Linked DNA regions of Coturnix japonica. The protein of the gene in region 2 purifies or fractionates together with the protein of the main gene of each other region. This does not show direct contact. Links are inferred from orthologs where the notes say so. Each region holds a gene or a part of one and is shown on either strand. Other genes may lie near its edges.

Region 1 (10,459 bases), on a different chromosome or scaffold from region 2:
ATCTCCTCTACACAACTATCCAGACATATTGCTTTGTTGTCTACAGTGAGTAGACTGCAATGCCAGTCCAGAGGACCGTGAAACTTGAGAACAGTCTGTGAGACCCTGACATAAAGGTCTGTGGAACCAGACTCATGGCAGTACAAAACAAGATATGTTTAAATCAAAGAATGCACCTAAATGAAAAGAATTTTTGCAGAAAAATTAGAATTAGAAGACAAATTTGGCCTGGTTATTTTCCCTTTCCCATATATCTCTACGAGTACATTATTTTCATCTTACTCTAGTACCTCACCTTTGCACCTGCTTTTCCTCATTGCTTTTTGCTCTTTCCTTGGATACACTCATTTAGCAAAATGAGAATGGAGGAAATTTGAAATACCACAACACAAAGTATATATTACGTTTTTAAGCAGCATAAAATTGCAGGGGAAAAAAAGGTTTTTACTGCTGTTGGGATGATCAGAACGGCAGAGTTAAAGCAGCGTTGAAACCTTAAGCAAAAGTGAAAACTACAATGTCAGTGAGCCAACGTCCAGCAGGAGGAGCCTCCGAGCTTCCTATATGGATTTTGCCTGTATACTAGTTATATTCATAAAAAATACTAGTTATATTCATAAAAGCTACCTCAAAAAACATTTTCAGACTCATTTACTGCTTTATAAGGCACTCTTATTTGATCTACCAGTTTTGATGTATAAAACCGAGAGTTTACTACTTCAGGATCTTGAAGTAATTGCTGGAAGTGTTAGGTTCCTTTTAGGCATCAGGAAACAGACAAGCGAGGAAGAACAGACTAGTCATATAGTAAGGACATATCAAGCTTGCTAGAGAAGAAGGAACAAAAGACATGCCTGTCCCTTCAATTTCTCTAATAGTTTTTTCCAATTCTGTAGTCTTCAAATTGGCCCACAAGTCAACAGCAAACTTTCTGGCAGTTTACAGAACAAAGAATTTCATGTTCATAGAGCCAAACTAAATAAGGGCAGCATTTGGACATTTGATTGAGAATAATATATGACACACCTAAGCTTAGAAAGCATTCTAAAATGGAGGAGGAAAGAATGCTGTTTACTGGAAAGCAATGTGAATGGCTTCTGTACCACAGATGAGTTCTAGAATGGAGCTACCCAAGCTTGATTCTAACTTACATTCCTTGGTAATGCACCCTGTACAAACCTGCCTCTAACAAAATATTTTCTACCCTTATTTGTCACTGTCCATCCTGTTAACCGAACAGATAAAGGTGAAGCTTTGGTAATACAGATCTACTTTATCAGATGTTTCATTAGAAATCATACTTGCAATAAAACTGACTTTATCTGAAGTCTCTAGTCTTAGAGCTCCCAGATCTAATGCCATCGATACCTTAGTTCAATCCTTTTTGTCAAATGGGGTTAACTTACCCTATTTGTGAGGCAATTGAAGATCCTCCACAGCAAATATACTGAATTCAAAGCACTATTTAATCCCTTACCGACAGCCTAAAGTGAGACAGGGCACGAGTAGAAAAGAGAGGTACAAAAGAAACGTTAATAAGAAGTGGGACGACAGCTGAGAAAGCTTCCCCTCTGTCTATACATGCTTTCACTGCCACATCCACCTACCAGCAATGAGGATAACTGATGCTACCTAGGGAGCAGTGTCGGGGTGAGGGGGCTCTCTCAGTCACCTGGACTGCTGGACACGAACACACAGCTTCACCTCCTTATCTAGCACACTGCTGGGCTGAAGAAACCGACCATAGAGGCCCCCACCACCGAGAACAGCCTGAGGAGGTCGGCGGGGCTGCCAAAGGAGATGAAAGGCGAGGCTGCCCTCCCTCCCGGCCAGCTGGCTGGGAAAGGCGGGGATCCTGCCGCCTCCACAGCTCGCCGCCCAGCTTCAGGGCCCGTTGCCCTTAGTGAGAAGCCGCTTCGCTTCTCTCCACCCACACCGGCTTCTCACGTGCGGCTGCAGCCGCTTTCCCTCGCTTGGGTTTGAACTGCCCGCCTTTACCAACCGCTCCGTTCTGCCACCCCAGTAGCGCAGCCCTAAGGCGAGAGCAGGGCGGGGGACGGCCTGAGGAGCGCTGCCTCCAAGGATGCGGACGGCACCATCTGGGCTCCGTGCTCTCATCGTACTTTATACTCCAGCTCGGCGGCTCCCGCCGCTCCCAGCCCTCCATAAAGCGCCCCGGTGCGGCCCCTCTGCCCGTCCCGTTCTGTCTCTCTCAGGAGCCGGGCTGAGGCGTTCCCGCTGCTCACAGCTTCTCAGAGTCGGGCGGGAGGCACCTTCAGCGGGTAGCCCGAGCCCTCACAGGTGGAACGTTGTCTGCACCAAGAGCTTAAAATCTGAGATGTAAGGGTGCTGATTAATTCATTTTAATTAGCTTATTTGTACCCGACAGCTCAGGAGCTAGATAATCATACAGAACTTCTGTTTTTTCTTTCATGGTTTACGCTTACGGCTCCACCAGAAACACTGTGAGATAAAACATGCTTTAAATCGTTGGGAGTAACTCCGAATGTAACGCCTCCACCCAGGGCAGAAAGATGGAGGTTCTCCGTGGTAACTAAGGCTGAGCAGGGCGGGCTCCATCCCCCCCAGAGCGGGGAAACGGGGCGTCTCGGTGTACGGGTAGTGCGACCGGAGGGTAACTGTAACGGGTAAAAACATTAGGGTTTTTGCGCTGGTTCCTCGTTCCATTTTAGAATGCGAATTAAAGAGTTTAGAAATGGAATCCAGGGTTTCCCAAAGTGCTTTCTGTAGCAGTTTCACGCCAGTCGGAAGAATTTCTCTTCAGGACCGGCGTTTATCAGCCCGTCGGAACGGGGCTATACCCCGAGGGAGGCGGCGTGAGGCACAGAAGTAATGGACGTTTAAAAAGACTCCATCCCACCGGGGAGCAGTTAAATGATGGATATAATCAAGATAATGAATGATTTTCTCGGGACAATCGATATATATTTTTTTCTCATGGGGTATAATTAGTAAGTAGGTTTTAAAGCATCACCTCGATGCTTTAATCATTTCGTCAAACCCGTTTTAAAATACAAAACGAGTGCGGGGAAAGATTATCGGCTTTACTTTAATTTCAGTGATTAGTTACTTGTGAGGTGTTAATTACTTTGTGTCCATCACCGGAGGAAGGGATCGTTCCGTTTTGGTTGGTTGATTTTTGCTCCCGGCAGCAGCTCCCACCTCGGAGGACCCGGGGCAGCGAACATCACTGCCGTGCACGTCCCGTTATTCTTACATGTGTTTTATTCCGGCACTAAGAAGTTACACTTAACTTTATTTTCGCACAGCAGCAAGACAAAGCCGATGAGCCGCCTAGAAATCCTTAGCACGTTGTTATTACTTCTAGCTTTCCCCAGGAGACGGTTGTTATTCGGCGTTCGGAAAGACGCATTTCCTCACATCAGGGAGATGTTATCTACAGAGCAGTATTTGTTATACGTTCTTACGTACCTGAGGACGTGCCATTACTCACACAGGGACGCCTAAGGGGCACCCAGCACTCGCCCAGCTGTAGGGCTGAGCCGGTGACTGACAGCACCGCGGCTTGCCAGTTTGTTTCAATGCGGGAATACATGGCACAGACCGCAGGGTACCGAGATTTAGTTACCAGCGCCAGGCTCAGCTCACTAGCGCTTCCAACTCTCACTCCCCCAAGGCTCCATCAGCCGCTATCCGCTGTAAACCCGACACAGCGCCTTAAGGACGGCGATGCAGACCCGCCCCCTCCGGCTTTGCGTAGTGACGCCATCATTCGGCGCCGAGGGGACGGCGAGGAGTGTGGAGGTTGGTGCCGCTTTCGGCTTATCCCTGCCGGGTTGGTGGTGGTGGTAGATTCGGGGTGAGGGGGGAGTGGGGAAAGGGTCGACCAAGCCCCTGGGGGTCAGTGGGGAGGAGGCGTGGCTGGCGCTGAACCGAGGCGGGCTGGGGGGGGATCATTGAATCATAGGCTCATAGAATGAGCTGGGTTGGAAGGGACCTCAAGGATCATGTAGTTCCAACCCCCCTGCCTGGCAGGGCCACCAAACATACACATTTACTAGATCAGGTTGCCCAGGGCCCCGTCCAACCTGGCCTTGAACACCTCCAAGGATGGGGCATCCACAACCTCCATGGGCAGCCTGTTCTAGGACCTCACTGGTCTCCTAGTGAAGATCTTCCCCCTAATATCCAACCTAAGTCTACCCTCTTTCAGCTTAAATCCATTTCCCCTTGTCCTGGTATTATCAAGAAGGGGAGAAAAAATGCTTTCTTTCTCTGTATGGTCACAACCTTAAAACGTAGGTCTGCAGTAATACCTACATGTTAGGTGGGGGTTGCTAAAAAATGAATTGTTTGTGGAGTAGTTGTCTGATATTGTGAAGGAATGTTGGTGAACCTGAAGGCAAAAGGTTAGCGTGCCAGGACAAACAGAAGTCCTTTCCAATGTGTATCATCTTATGTAGCATATATTAAACAGAGCTTGAATATTTTTGTATTTATTTTAAAAGAACTTTTTCAATTTCTGTCAACTTTAGATGGAGATATTGAAATATTTGTGTAAGACAACAACAAAAAACATGTATTTTATTTGTTGTTTTTGCTTAGAACATGGATTCACAGAAGGACGTTCAGCCCCCAAAGCAGCAGCCAATGATTTACATTTGTGGAGGTAAAGAAAAGACATTAGTGGTATTCAATGCTCTAATAATGAGGAATGTGCAGTCATAGTGCCACAGAGTACAGAAATCTACATAACTGGGTTGTGGATCCTGATGATGCATTAAGCTTTATGCACTGATGCTCCCATATGCATGGATTACTTGTGGTTATTGATGTGGAAGTCGTTCACTAGAACCTCTGTTGCTGTGTGGGGGTCCTGCATCTCTAGAGGATGATAGCAGAACTTTTATATATTGCATCTTGGAGACAAAGTTTTTTTGGAAATAGTGTTGTCATTCAACTTTCACTAATGCACAGTTGTCAGATTTTCTCTACCTAAACATAAGTTAATAAAGTGAAAATTGGAGCTTTTGAGTAACCACTTTAAAAGCCTCAGAAAAATTTAGGCTTAAGAAAATAAACTTGGTGGCTCGGAGGGGCTGAGAGGAAGGTTTCATTAGTGGAGTGTGGAATGGTACAGTAATGTTTGGATACTTTTTAGCAATCTAAGTTTGCCAATTCTTTTTTTTTTTTTTTTCCTTAACAGTATCTTAATATAATTCAGTTACTTATTAAAATTCACTGCAATTATTTTCTGTTATGCTTTGTTTGCTAGTAAAAGGAATTAGACCATTGTTACATCTGAAAGCTATCTGTGCTTTAGATATGCTGCTTTTGTTCACTCATTGCTATTCTCCTTCTCCATCATATCAGAATGTCATACAGAAAATGAAATAAAGGCAAGAGATCCGATCAGATGCCGAGAGTGTGGGTACAGAATAATGTACAAGAAAAGAACAAAAAGATGTATCCTTTTACAAAGGCAGTCGAATGCATTTGGGAAGCTGTGGGGCAAGCTGTGTAAGAAAATTGACTTCAGATTTATGCATTCCCTCTTTTTGTTCTCCTTGACCCCTTTCCTCCCCTGATCTTTCCTTGAACTGCAACGCATTTTTCTTTAACTGCACAATTCCAGTGGTGGTTTTTGATGCCCGGTGATTTGACCTGAAGATACATCAATTTTATACTTCAGTTTAATATTTCTGGCAACTTTGCTCTGTAAATCCATTGGTGTATAAATGCATAGTTTAGTGGTTTAAGATATTAAAATATTAAACTTCACTGTGATACTACTTGCCATACCATCTCAATTCTGTCTATACTACTTTTAGAAATGGGTTTCTTCCTTAAACTTTAGTCAGAATGTGCAGCATTCTGTTAAATTCATTGGTATTATATTCATTTTTGAGTTAAGTGTTAACCTTGTTTTCACAGCTCACACCTAAGCCTTACCTGTGTTTCAGCTCTTCAGTGTTTTTTGGACTCCTGTGAACTGCATAAGATAATCTTGGTTTGAATAAATCCCAGTGAAGACATATTGAAAGTCACGCAAAATCAGGTCTGAAATTTGGATTTGAACTCGACAGGACCCAAATCAGGATAAAAATAAATGTGTAAATAGAGATTCTCAGGCTGTTTTGTGACCTTGCTTGTACTCACTAAAATAAGTAGGTCTACAGTATAAAGAAACCTTGGATAAGGTAAAACTGAAATAACGTCATTTTGCTTTTCGGATGATTTCTCATGAGTCTGTATTAAGAAGTGGTTGCCGTTTTGTACTGATAAGCCCAAACTTTTTGCATCCATTTTCCTGTTCAGAACATTTATATTCAGAATATTTAATACTAAAATACCCATAGCGCCAATTTGTCTTAAAAAACACTGCTGCTTTGTGTGTGGTGCTAATTTAGCCTGATTAAATGCTTGCAAATCCAAATTTTGTTTCCAGTGCTGATGAGGCTGTTGAAAGACAAACATGTCATTTCACTGTTATCTGTACAGTATGATACCACTATTAGGGGGTGTGCTGGCTGCTGCAGAAAGCAACAGGGATGGGTTTTAGTGGGCCCAAGGTTGTGGGCAGTGGTGAGGCTCAGGGCACTTGGAAGAGCGTCGGACTGGATTTAGACTGGATGAAATACTACACTGAAAGCTGATGTTTTATGGAAGCTCAAACTCAACGGCTGTATTTCTGAAGGGAATACCCTCTCTGAAGTCAAATCATTTTTAAGAACCATTTTATGGAAATTATATTTAATAAAATATAAATTAAAGCAGTGTTATATGTTCCTAATAGTCAGAACGTTGGAGAGCTGCAGCTCGAGCGACCCCGCGCTGACAGGGCCGGCCGAGCCCCTCAGCTATTCACTCACTACGCGGCGCTCCTTCGCCATCGCTCCGCTGTGCATGCGCGGGCAAGGCGGGCGTCCACGGCGGAGGTGAAGGCTGTTAGGAGCGCGGTAGGTGGGTGTCAGGGCCGTCGTGTAACTCCGTGTCCTCCACAGAGCCGGCGGGGCTCTGCGGCTCCTCGCAAGGGGTTGGCTGTGTGGTTTCTTGCGGCTTCTCCGTCTATTACCTCCCCACAGCGCCGCCGGCCGCCATGTTGTACATAGCAACGGCTGCTATGTTGCCATTGCTGCCTCTCGGTAGATCTCCGTGAAGAAGAAATCGTGGCATCAGGTCATCAGGCAGTAGTTCTGCTGCAATTAGTACCTTGTAGCATTAAAACACGGCTATTCCTTAAATTAGCATTGCTCTAGCCCCCAGAGATTTATTTTTCTTTTAATGTTTAGTGATGAGTGATGCGTCAATAATGTATTTGCTGGACCAAGGAACTACTAAAACATATCAAATACCTATTGGTCATCTCGACTACAAGTTCATTGAAAAATGTACGGATGTTCCATACCTGGAAAAGATTCTCAAGGTGCTAAGGTAAACGTTATCTTTAATGAACTTCATTACTAATTGTATTCCCATTCTATCTCTCTTGAACCTCTTTGTAGTTTTCGTATTTAAAACCTTGAAATTAAGATGCACTGTGAAAGTAATTGTGGTAAAAGCGTCCAGATGATTAAATGAAGAGTTAGAAATTCAAGTCCACAGTGGATCTGTGTCTGTATGTCTGCTGGAAAATGGTTAACTGAGATTTTCTGATCAAAATCAAGAGGTGATAGATTTCAGTTAGAACAGGAAAATAACACTCTATAGTCACTGCATACAGACAAGTATGGATGTTTGTGGGGAATGCAGCGTAATTTAGTTCCCCTGTGTAACTTGCTTATGTGTTCATTTTAAAGGTCTGGTGAAGAGGGATGTTATCCTGACCTGATGTTGTTTTGTGAAAAGCGTATCGAGCATTTAGCTCCAGGGAGCAGAGTTCTCAGAAAGGATAAGCCAGCAGCCACAGCAGCTGATTTTACAGCTGAGGAATGGGAAACAATTAATGGTGAACTGATGGTACTGTATGACTCTAGTTCATTGTGGTCAGTAATGTAACCTCTTTGTTTGGTCAGTCTTGACTGATTGTTCAACCTCATTTTGTGCTTAAGTAGAACACGATTATTTGATTAAATGAGGAAATGATAGGAGGGTTCTGTTGTGGTTTTCTTTGTTAATATTTATTGAGATAATGCTAATTACTCTTTAATACCCATCATAACTCTACAGAACATATTTGTATATTATTATTCATTCGAAAAAGCTCAAAACAATTGCAAACTGCGTATAGAGAATGCACTTTTCACAATCTTTTCATGAAAGAGCAGATCATTTTTTCCATACTGTTCAGTATGGAACATACTGAAGATCTCTTTGCAACTGAAAATATTGAAGAAGTCTAAGTGGGCATAAGCATTTTAGATTATATTATTTTAGCCAAAAAACCAGAATCTCTAGTAGTGTCATTCCTTAGTAGCACCCCTTGCCTGTGATAAAAAATCCAGATGTATATATAACAGAAACACAGAATCACAGAACTGTAGGGGCTAGAAGGGAACCATCAGAGATCATCAGGTCCAGCCCACATGCCAAAGCTACAAGCTGCAAAGGTAGGTGTTCAGACAGGACTTGAATATCTCCAGAGGAGGAGAATCCACAACCTCCCTGGGCAGCCTGTTCCTGTGCTCCATCAGCCTCACTGTGAAGAATTTGTTTTGCATGTTGGTGTAGAACTTTTATGCTCCAGTTTGTGGCTATCTGCCCTTGTCCTGTTCCCACAGACCACTGGAAAGAGGTTGGCCATGTCCCTTTGACTCCCACACTTAAGATATTTATGAACATTAGTAAGATCAACTCTGAGTCTTCTTTTCTCAAGGCTGAACAGACACAGGCTGCTCAGCCTTTCCTCATTGGGGAAATCCTCCAGGCCAGTTATCATCTTTGTAGCCCTCTGCTGGACTCTCTCTAGGAGATCCCTGTCTTTTTTGTACTGGAGAGCCCAGACCTGGACAGAGCATTCCAGGTGAGGCGTGACCAGGACAGAGCAGAGGGGGAGATTCACCTCCCTTGACCTGCTGGCCATGCTCCTTAAATAATGAAGTGATGCTTTTTATGGCCCAGAAATTAACATGCTATGAATTGAATTATGTAGGAAAAGATAAAGCAGCAAAACTAATCTTACGAGAAATTAAGCGTATCTATTTTTAATTAGAATCTATGAAAAAACAGGTGAATGCTTTTTGTTGCTTTGTAAATGTAGAAGGTCAGTTGGAGGCAATTTTGTTCATAGCATGTTCTAATCAAATCATTCTCTTTCTTCTTGAGACTAATTGTTTCCTGTCTTTTAAGGGTGATTCTCCAAGTGCTTCTGAATGATTAAAAGCACTTCTATTTTTTGCATATTTCTCTTTATAATGGTTACCATTTTGAGGCTCTAAATGATGATAAAGGAATGTGCACTTGTGCTGTGTTCATCATTAGGTTTTCTTGAATTGACAATGTTATGAATAGAAATAACCCTTTAAACTTAAGGAACTTAAGCTTATGTTTAAGGTTTTAAAGCTTGATTTTAAGCTTTATTTTTAATCTTCATCTTAATTGCTTTTCCTCACGAAGAGCTTTGCATTGTAAGGATAGTTGCAGGGTCATTTTAGACTATGATGTGTATCTGTTGTACAGCTTTAAGGTACGGAGTCTTACTTATTTTCAGAGCTGGGTGGCAGAAATGAATGAAGATGATAATAAACCACAGTTTTTGAAAAGAGGCACACTGCATGAAGGACAGGATAACTTGCCTCCCATTCGTTGTTCCAGCAGCTGTCTCCCCACTTTCCAGGTATCTTCAGTTTTCTCAAACATTACTTTTACAAAAGTATGTTAATTATGTCTATCCAAAATCAGCAAATTCAGATTTTAAGAACTTCTATTCATTGAACCTCTCTCTTACTAGATGTATTTTGTTAACCAGAAAATAAAACTCTTTAAAGTGTCTCGTAAGAGACCAGTGCTTAAACAAAACTGCCTCTTTCATACTAACATGCATCTTGTAATTATCTTTTAGTCTTGATCAAGTGTTAATTTCTGAAGCAAATCTTAAACACCCTTTTCTGTACCTGTACATTTCAGGGTAGTGTTAAAGAGTATATGCTAGGTTTATTTGGGAGGTTTTCTTTTTACTGGTGTGGAATCATGGAATGTATTTTCCACAGATGAATGAAGAGTGAGCTTTATAACAGGATTTCCCTCTCTTACCTGATACAGAAGTTTCTGTATTCATAATCATGTTTCTGTTTCACGCTGCCTTGGATTTTGAGGTTACATCTATACAGAGAAATAAAAGAGGATCGGGAACACAGCTTGATTATTTCTGTTTCTAATTGTCCACACTGCTTAAATATTAGTGTTGCTCACTTTTTCCAGGGCAGAACTAAACCATGTTCTAGAAGTATGGGCTTAGAAGTATTCACTTCCATAAAACAGTGTGGATGAGATTTCAGCAGATGTAGTTTCTTTGCCAAACACAGTACTACAGTGCAGG
Region 2 (10,543 bases):
CTACAAAACAAGATTAGGAGGAATGACTGAGGGAACTGGAGTTGTTTAGTCTGGAGAAAGGAAGGCTCAGGAGAGACCTCAGTTCTCTATAACTGCCTGAAAGGAGGCTGCAGTGAGGAGGTGTTGGTCTCTTTTCTCAGGTGACAAGTGATAGGACACAAGGAAACAGCCTCAAGTTGTGCTGGGGAGGTTTAGATTGGATACTGGGAAGAACTTTTTCATAGAGAGGCACAAAGGTGGAGCCCTCACTCCTGGAGTTATTAAGAGATGTGTGGATGGACATGGGCCTAATGGACATACACATATCTGCACACCGCAGAAACAAAGGAAAGCAAACAGGACACCTACGAGGAATAGGTACTTGTTTCATCTGTACAAGTGCCATCTACATTGAGAGCAATCTGTTCTCCTTTGCTGCGACAGTAGTTTGGATTCAAAGTATCAATGGCCATTTCCAGTTCAACCTAAAAAATGTGAAAGAAAAGGCAAATTATTACGATGGCAGAACTCCAGATGTATAATCAATTAAACTTACAAATTACAGCCACCACCTCACTTTTATTCCCCTTCATGTTACTTGTAAACTGAAGTAGTGACCAGTCCCTGGTTATGATGGTAGATTTATACATCTGCTAATTCTAATTAGAAAAATCCTTAACACAGCATAGGCTGTGACTCCAAAATTCACATAAGCACTCTCCTCAACTATTTCCCAGAAAAGAATCCTGCTATCACACACCCGTGAGTGGTTTTTTTCATTTTTTTTTAACATGAGGCATTTTAAAATCACAGCTACAGGTTTGGAATTCTTCTGTAGTCAAGTGAAATCATTCTGGCTTTGGTTATACTTTCACCACCCCACTGATTCTCAAACGGGACAGCTGATGGTTCACAGCCAGGCAAAGGAAGAATCAAGACACACAATGACTCTAAAAGACAAAGCACGCCTTCAAACCTCAACAAAATTCTAAATATTGTGAAAGTCTTTAAAATCAATCTTGTACAGACTGAATAACAGTAGCCAGAGTTTCCTGAATGATTCTGTTTTTATATATTTTTTTCCATTGTGACATTCATTCCTCTCTTAATAAACCATTCTTCTTTTAAGCTCTCCTGCAGTCTTACAGTGACAGACTCCCTGTTCCCCAAGCACAGAGATCTGGTCCCACAAGCTGCACACTTAGAACAGCTTAGCAGCCCAGTGTAATGACCTGAAGCACATTCCAGACAGTGTAACACAACTTTCACAGACTGGACTCAAATGATGACCAACCTTTTGCTGCTTTGGCTTTATCTTCGCTGATAAATGTGTAACATCATCATATGTCATGGAAGCTGGACGAATTGGGTACTGCAAAACACATCAATTTCATAGAAATTCTTAATTTAAAAGCAAAAGAATTTCACAGAAATTTATTAAACCCTGCCTGACCCTTTACATGTAAAGGCACTTTCCCGATGGTTACAAGATCTCAATGAATGACTTTTGTAATCTTGTGAGTCATCAGATCTCCAAGTATGGTCTAGAAAGCTTTCCCCTCCAACCTCTGCTGCTGTCACTTCACCCTTTTCCATTTCCTGCCTCCAACACATCACTATGTGCTATAAGACAAGAAAATGGTACAACACATTAATCCAACAGCAAAAGGATGTAAAGCCATGAAAACCCGTTAACTCCATGACTAAATAAACTCCATCTCCTAAAATAATTCCCTCAGGGTTTATAGGCAATGATTTAATGTTAAGCCAATGCCATAAACAATCACTCTTCTCTTACAAACAATTTAATACTAAATGTTTCAACTGAGACCATACAGCTTTGCCTGTTCCCTGTAAGAGGTAAATAAAGCTATTGCTCTTTCCATTAATTTATTTTAAACAAATTTTCACTAAATAAAAGCTAACTGAAATACCTGAAACAGATACAACTTCTCCAGCAGACTTCTGGCCAGGAATACATCAATCTGAAAGGCAACACAAACAACCTGCATCAGATAACAGCTATGATGGATGGAGCCTCAGGCATAAGTACAATCCCTAGAGCTCAAATACTGTGAAGAATTGCTCCTAATTATGAACTGTATATAAATCTCACTCATGACTTGATAAAAGTCGAATTTCTGCTGATTTTGACTTGTAATGTAGCAGCTGGATTCTTAGAGAAAAAAAAACAACACAACTATGATGAGGCAGGAGACAGCGCTGCATATTTTTGTCTCTGAAATGAAACAAGAAATTTGTTTGTCTGTGGGGCTGAAGTGAATCTATCATCACAATCTGAGAAAGAAGAGGATGTTCTCATCAGCAGCATGACTGAAAGTTAACTTCCTTGCTGGTGTTTTGCCATGATAACTTTCTAAGCTAGACAAAACACACCCACGTGCCAAATCTCATTTTAATACAAGCACTTTGCCACCAACACCTAAAATCCACAGATGTGTCATGAAGATCACACACAGACGTTTCCATTTTAGGTACCTTTCGAGACACTTCTGTCAAACCCCGCTTGTCACAAGCTTGTCCTCGCTCATATCTCTGGTGCATGAGTTCATACACAAAGTGAATGAAACACTGGGTACTGTTTGGGGTGGAAAAGATCCTTAAGGAAGCCCACAATTGCACTACAACTGCTTGTTTTTAGCAGAAGGTATAAAACTGTTTCAGCTTCATTTATAACAGATATGAATTCATCAAAATTGTAATTAGAGCAATAGAACAGAAGTTGAATAACACAAAAAAAGCCACACGCAGAACCACTGCAGCCACAAAGCACGTTTACCTCTTGTATAATTGGATCATCTTCTTCATTTGCCATGCTAGGATACAAAAAGCTTTTCCTTGGCTTATTCCTTGGCACAATCTGAAAGAAAACAGATATGTCATATGAGTCACTACATCTGTGCCACGTACCACACAGAGCCTAGACTGTTTGTTCAAGCACACACCACTTTCTTTTCAGTGCTGAGCTGCTGTGTGTGTTGTGAAGGAGTGTTCATGTTGGCACAACGCGGCCCCTCACACCTCACCACCTCTACCAACTGCCACCAACTCCAAACACAAACAAGAGTCTCGAAAGTAATTAAGCTCCTGAAACTTTGATGAAAGCCAGCATAAGAGAGAGCACTAAACCAGAGCTCTGCAGAGGGAAGGACAGGCCTTCAGTACTTGTGTGCAGCAATACCCTTTATATCCTGTGTGACTAGTGCACCCTGGCAGCAGCTGGTTTTGCAGCCAACATGCCCAGGCTCTGAAATAGCCACAGCACTTGTCACCGTCACTAAGGATGGTGCCGTGCTGCTCACCAGCTCTCCCTCCTGCTCCAATAGATCTTACTCTCACCACTGACACACACTCACCTCTTTGCTGGGCTTCCTAGAAAGAAGAAGGGGCAGCCAGTGACAGAAGAGAGACAGAAGCATCCACTCTACATCCCCAGCTGTGCTGATTATTTTCAAGTACACAATTCACCACTTACCCATCCCAATATATTTCAACACACACATGGTTTTCTCAGATCATCGCACTAACATCCACAGTTATCCAAGAGATGTGGCACTGAAGCTCAATGAGCACCGGGCACTTTGCAGCTCCCAGAAGCACATCCATGGCCACAAGCAGTGAGATGTGTCAGCTCCAGCTCAGTGCTGCACATCCCATGTGCTCAGCACAGTGCAGCACACAGACAGCTCGGCACAAAATGGAGCCTTCATTCAGAACAGAGCCAGCACCGGGAGCACATGGCAGCCCTGGAGGTGGGAGCTGCAGGTCTGAGCCCTCTGTCCTGGCCCTGTGTGGGGATGGGGAACCTGCTCCTGCCTGACAGCCAGGTGTGTGCTCAGCTGCTCCTTCCCTCCTGACAATATTATATCACTTTTCCAAACAGAATTTCAGATTTCCTGGGCCAAGATGAGAAAGAGAAACTCAACCTGAAGGACCTGGTTCCTCCTTGGGAATCCAGCTCATTACTTACAGAAAACATCAGATCACAATTACAACTTTTCTTAACCACTTATTGGTAAGGAATGACTGCAGGTGCTTTCATGGGAGGACCAGAACAGACCTACACCAGGAAGCAGCGTGTCCCAGAACAACGTACAACATTCGTGTGCAGAATCCTCTGATCAGAGCGAAGCTTCCACTGAAGACACGCAGACACAATTAATTCTGCATCTGCAGTTTGCACGTAGATACAGGAAGGAACCCCACAGGAATAACAGAGTGGAGTGAAGCTCAAGGAGGTTTCAATCATGGCCACCAGAGCATTTGTTTCACGTTTCCTCTTGCCAAGATTGCTCCCTTTACAGAAGGACTTTCCTGTGCATCTCAGCACCAGTGCAAGTTATTAGTGTGAGTCATTGAGCCTCTGAGCACAGAAGATACAGATCTCCTCAGCGTGACCAAGGCTGGGCTGCCATAACCACCCTCCCACCATCAATTCAGAACCAAACATGAGAAAAAATGCTCTGACCAGGAAAGTCTAGAACTGCCACGGGGGAACCGAACGTTTTTCCTCTCAGGTTCAGCCCCGAATGGCGTGTGGGCACACGGAGCACAGCCGTGCACAGGGGCAGCGCAGCCCGCAGACCCGGCCCGACACTGAGAGGAGCCGAGAGGAGCCGCGGGGCCGGAGCCCCGTCCATCCCCTCAGGGCCCGGCCCGGTGGCTCCTGTCAGCGCCCCGCGCCCGCTCCCACCGCCCCACGGTGCGAATAGAGCCCGCAGTACAGGCCGCACCCCCTCCACCCCCCGCCGCTCCCGCTCCCGCGCGGCCCCGCAGCAGCACGCGCAGCCCCGCACCCGCTCACCTGGCGGAGGCGCCGCGCGGGCGGCCGGGCCGCCGGTCCCCGGTGTCGGTGCGCGGCGCGGCGGGCGGCTTCAGGCGGCGGCCATGTTGGTGTCACTGCGGCCGGCACGTGGGGCCCCGGCCCTCCTCCTACCCACAATGCTCTGCCGGAGCAGCGCGGCGCGGCCGCCAGGGGGCGCTGCAGGAAACAGAGGAGACAAAAAATGAACCGCTGGCAGCGGTGGGATTCGAACCCACGCCTCCAGGGGAGACTGCGACCTGAACGCAGCGCCTTAGACCGCTCGGCCACGCTACCGCCGTGCTCCGGCTTCTTCCGGCGCTGCCTTTCACTGCGGCACCGAACGCAGCTGCGGCCGAGACGGCACCGAGCGCTGCCACGTGTGCGCGATGGGAAGGGGGCTGAGCGTCCGGCGCAGCGTGGGGCGCGATTCAGTTCTGTGCTGCAAAACCAGAGCTCCGTTAATTTGAGGAGTCAGCAAACAGACTGCTGGAACTTTCTGCATGTCTCATGACACAGGAACTTTAAGTTAACTGGGCTCTGCTGCCCGTTTCCTTGCAGCAGTGTGTGGAGACTGGAAGTTGCTCAGCACGGCCCCAATGTCCCTGTGCAGGACGCAGACACGGAGCTGCGTGTGAGATCTTTGAGATCTGCGCCACCCCTGTACGGCGATGACACGGGGCTTTGTCCAAATTAAAGGGAGCTTTCTGTCAAACTCAAGCTATCTGCCTGGTTACATCGCTTTGCGTTACACTGAGGCAGGAGTTGGACAAGGTTATTAACGATACCCAAAGGCCTGGCCCCACGGGGCTCTGGGCCCCAAGGGTGGATCTGTGCTTACTACAACCAGCCCGACTCAGTGCTGCAATGATGCCAGGGATGGAGCCGAATCCTCCCTTTTACAGCACAGGTGAGACCTCCCGACTCAGCTCACCAACACTAAGCTCACCTACACTCAGGTCACCTACATTAAGCTCACCCACACTCAGCTCACCCACACTACGTGTGTCTTGGCTGTCACGCTGCTCCCAGAACAGAATGCAGGTCTGCATGGAGAATTGTGAGGTCCATGTCAGTCCCACGGAGCACAGCAGGGTAACAGACTATTCCTGTAGTGTGCTGGCTGCCTCCATGAGCTCTAACGAGCTCTAACTGTTGTGCTTTCCACCACCTGCTCCAGTTACCCAGCACTATTACCAAGCAGATGATGGGAGGGGGCAGGGAGTGACACAGGATGGGTGTTTGCATGTCTGCTGCACTAAGAAGGGGTTCCATCATGTCCTCACCCCAGCCGTGCTCCCACTGACACTCAGGAACAAAGCACCCGGATAAGTGTCACCAGGCCAAACCTCAAGACTTATTCTCACATTTTTTAAAAATACAGATTTTTCTTTATTCATTGTGAATAGATTAAAAACACAGCACAGAGCATCATTCCAACAGCCTGGCAATGCAGTTCTCTTTATCTTCAAACGAACATCACAAAACAAATTGTGCATATTTCTGTAAATGATTTTCAAACTGCTCTCAGCCCTCCTCACTGTACAGCTCACTAACAGGATACCACCCGAGGGCTCAGGGTAGTCTACAGCATTAAAAAGTATTGGCAAACAAATTACTGATCATGGTATTTTTTTCACTGAGCTATGTGGATGGACATTGACATATCAGATCTATGGAGAGCTGTCAGTAATTACTGAATGTAGCAAATGAATCTACATCAAGAAGTGTCAGTAATTACACTCTACTCCTTTACTTACACATTTTGGACGGTTGCATTCAATCTCCTCTCCTCCCTACATGGCTGGTGGGGTTGTTGCACGTTTGCTTCCTTCTCAAGGAAAACCTCAAACTCTTGGCACCAACACCTTACAGGGAAAACAAAACCTTTTATCTCCATTCATTAGAATGCCTACACTGTAAGTTCAGCACAAAACACTCACTGTTCAACCACCTTCAGAGGTGAATGGTACATTTGCCTTTCATCACCAAGTAATAATTAAACAATATGGAGAGCAAAAAGGCCACCGCCATGTATGGCTTAAGATTATGCAGACAAGATACAGGAATTCAAGTGTTTGGGGATTATAGTGTTTCCTCCTTATCAGCAATTTTCTGTAACTGACAATTAATACCATTAAACCATTCTCAGTCTCTTCTGAAGAACCTTTTAGAAAGCTCAATTGTAAACTACAGGAGATGATGTTAAATTCAGATGAAAACTCCCTGGTGTTAATACCATGGAAAATAAGCTCTGTACCGTATGGTAGTATTTAATAAATTACCCAACATAATCTGGAAATTTACATATATATGTGCATCTATCCTTCATCATTCAGCTCAAATCTATCAAAGCATCATGTGAAGTTACTATGTGAACCATAAGAGAGCAGATAAAACACACAAAGCCATTTAAACCAGATAAATTATTTTCCATACATAGCCATAGGTAAATCAACATTGCCTACGTTTTACAAATATCCCTCTGGAAATGCTGGAAAGTGTATTCTCATTTTCAGCGAGATGTCCTTGCTTTGCCAAGAACTGAGATGTCTCTGTAAAATACAGTACAGACTGGAAATCACTGGGTAAGTACTACATGAGATCAGCAGAATCCTACACAGTGAGGTTGTTATATTGTACAAAGTGTGAAAATGAGAGCGGTAGCTGGATGCCTCACCTCCTTAGGATCATTGGTGTTCTTCTGATAGTAAAATATGCAATGCTGGCAACAACATTCCGCCCTGAATAACCTCACTGTTATTCTGAAATCTTTTTTCCTCCACCTCTCCAAACTCCAAGGATTCTATCTAGAATTAATCTGAAAATAAGCCAGTGCCCACTGAAAGAATGGGACTTGTTAAAAAGAGGAGCTGCATGCTTCACATGCTTATATTGCACATTTACATTCACATGCAAGTTTGGTGAGATACGCCAACAATGAAGAAATGCTGTGAATGTAGGGAAGTTTATTTATTCTGTGTGTGGGGGGAGAAGAAAAATGTAAACACACTGATCAGCTGCTGCATATAAAGCAGAACATGTGAAACCCAAGCAGTCATTGGGTTCGCTCTTCATCCAAAAAAAAGTGAAAAATAAACATAAAAAAAAAAATCAGCCTCATCTGTTCTAAGAGTTAAAATATATGTCTATATAAAAGGTCAAGAGTGTCTGTACTACAGCTTGAAAACACTTGACAGAAATACACTATAGTGACCTACATCCCAGCTGCATTTGTATTTTCATCTTCAAAAGAAGTTAGAAAACTAAAAGTACAAAAAACCGCTAACGCCACAAAAATATATCTTTTTAGCTGCAAACGTAGTAATTCTTTAAAAAAAGTTTATATACAAGAACTGCTTCATTGAAATGTCATTCTTCCATCATCGCCCAGGCCTCTTCTGCTTTCTGGTAGTACTGATTTGCCAGTCTGCCCTTCATTGCTTCCATTGCTGCTTCTGCTGCTTCTGTGTAGAGATCACCTAAGGCAAGAAACAGTATCAGTCACACTGACAAGATAAAGGCATTTCTCTTTATCATAAAGGACAAAAATAACTTAACTTAACTTAAAATACAAGCAGCAACCTGCAGTTCAGTGGCCTCACAGGGAGTGAAGGATAACGCCAGCTTCTTGGTGTGCCACAAGACTGGAGCAGGCACCACCCACTACCCCTGTCATCAGGGAAATCTTTTCCCTTCCCTCCCCCCCAGAATTTTCAGCCTTACATCACTCACTGTCATTACAGCTTGAGATTACCGAGCCTCTGAATGCTTTATAGCAGCTGAACAATGTATATATAAAAAAACGTGGACTCACCTGATCTCTGTGGGTCCTTGTCCAGGTGGAACCCTCCTGTCATTAGCATCTCTGCTTCCCTGGCCAGGAGCAGATACCGGGGCTCATCCTGAGTGCCATCATATTCACCTCCCTCATCATAGTCAGTCATGTTCAGGGCAGCGTTGTACCAGTACAGAGCCTCCTTCCAATCCTGTGCTCTGATGTTAAAAAACATTTACAAGGTTGTTACCTTAGGAAACAAATATTCCTTGCACTGTAGATTCAGAATTCAATTTTGCACTAGACTTTCAGAGCTTTGATGGCCTTCAAAAACACAAATGTTTTCACAGAGGCTCACTAACTCTGCATTGTAGCACCAGGTCACTATACCAGGTGAGGCTGGGGTCACTTTATGGAGAAGTTATCTCGATGAGCTCCTCAGTGAGCTTTCATTACCAGTTATATGCTTTTGGTCTTATGGCTTAATAGCTCTTCATGCGAACAGAAGATGTGCAGCAATTATAATATTCAAATACACTAACTAGAAGTTAGATTACTCAGTCATGCACAGTACCTGTCTGAACCTAGATTGACACCTGTATCGTATGCTCTTGCTACCAGAATCATGGAAGGTCGGTCTCCAGCTTCTGCTGCTCTCAGCAAATAATCAAATCCTTTTTTTCTGTTCTCCTTTGTGTCCTAGTAAAATAAGGAAAATCTCTAAGACAAATGTTTTTAAGTAAAACCACCCCATCCTTTCTCTAACACTAAATGCCTGTTCTGCAGGTTACTAATGGCTGCAAGTGTTGAACATGTCTGAAAAACAGGCTCCAAATTGCTGAGGAGATGAATAATAAAATTACTTCAAAAAAACTTCCTAAAGATACACAGTGATTTCCAGCAATATCATCAGCAGGCAGTGGTTTTGATGCTTTGTCCAAGTCCTTAACTACAAAGTCATGCATTTTCTCTGAAGAGGCTACAGAACATCATCACTATGTCTCCATTTCCTCCTATTCTCATATTTTTCCAAGTGAACACGACTTTGGGTTTTCAAATTTTCTTTCCTTTTCCTTGTTTACCTCTAAGGTGACCTCAGAAAGAATGTGATGTGGCAGCTGAGAGCACATGAGTCCCAACCCAACAATGGCTTCCAGCTCCCCGCAGTCTGCAGCGTGCTCCAGGTGGAACAGAGCCGACTCACGATCCCACTCCTGGTCCTTCTCACAGAAACGCCCAGCCTCATGGTAACGAACCATGGCCAGATGAACCTAGAACATGGTAATACAAGAAAGATATACAAGTTTAAGTACAGATTTGATTCTTCAGAAGCCATGTGCCCATACTTCACTGAGGCACAGAAATACCTCACTGAGGTAACTACTTAAAGTTGTGTACGTTCCTGCAGAATCAACAGCAGAATCCTTTCCAAAAGAGCCCAACTACTGCAAGTCTAAAGGCAGATGGCATACATGGGTTCCTAAACTTAGACATCCCTCATGAAGTATGATTAGGTGACAGAAAGCATTACACACTTGCCACTTACTTTCACCTGCATGATTAACTCACACAGGGAGGCACCCATACACAAATAAAAATACAAGATCACTTTTTCCACATGGAAAGAACAGAATTACCAAATCCATCCTACCTTCCCAAGGATTGACTTTCCAATTTTCTTTTCAAGTTCTAGTGCATTGAGCCTCTGAATTTCTTGAGCAACGCAGGATGGTCTGTGGATGTGGACTCTGGAGGAATTGTAGAGATTCCACTTCTCCACACTTATCTGAAATATGGAATATAATACCAAATTAAAACTTTTATACTATTCATTCTGATTGCCATTCAGAAATCAAAGCCTCTATGGATAACACCACTGATTAGTAACTTATTATTCGAAAAAAGTAGTTATAACAGGCTGTATTTTATAAAAGCAGGTCTGTTTTCACCTAGTTCAGTTACGT

The links.
Region 1: the proteins of POLR3E (region 2) and POLR2K purify together in Homo sapiens (affinity purification with mass spectrometry; 3 studies listed by BioGRID and IntAct, with this or other methods). This does not show direct contact. The link is inferred for Coturnix japonica from reciprocal best matches to the Homo sapiens genes POLR3E and POLR2K.

What each region holds. Positions count from the first base shown.
Region 1 is NC_029517.1:116,284,348-116,294,806, forward strand, and holds POLR2K (DNA-directed RNA polymerases I, II, and III subunit RPABC4), read left to right. Parts: upstream 1-3,691; 5' UTR 3,692-3,711; coding exon 3,712-3,786; exon of another isoform or gene 3,787-3,817; intron 3,818-4,587; coding exon 4,588-4,651; intron 4,652-5,355; coding exon 5,356-5,448; intron 5,449-5,617; coding exon 5,618-5,640; 3' UTR 5,641-6,106; downstream 6,107-10,459. Other genes in the region: SPAG1 (sperm-associated antigen 1), read left to right, coding at 7,277-7,416, 7,782-7,941, 9,632-9,757. UniProt on the Homo sapiens protein: DNA-dependent RNA polymerase catalyzes the transcription of DNA into RNA using the four ribonucleoside triphosphates as substrates.
Region 2 is NC_029529.1:8,323,086-8,333,628, reverse strand, and holds the start of POLR3E (DNA-directed RNA polymerase III subunit RPC5), read right to left. Parts: upstream 4,931-10,543; 5' UTR 4,805-4,930; intron 2,861-4,804; 5' UTR 2,816-2,860; coding exon 2,780-2,815; intron 1,965-2,779; coding exon 1,914-1,964; intron 1,352-1,913; coding exon 1,274-1,351; intron 465-1,273; coding exon 349-464; intron 1-348. Other genes in the region: EEF2K (eukaryotic elongation factor 2 kinase), read right to left, coding at 8,174-8,283, 8,619-8,797, 9,154-9,278, 9,662-9,850, 10,231-10,365. UniProt on the Homo sapiens protein: DNA-dependent RNA polymerase catalyzes the transcription of DNA into RNA using the four ribonucleoside triphosphates as substrates.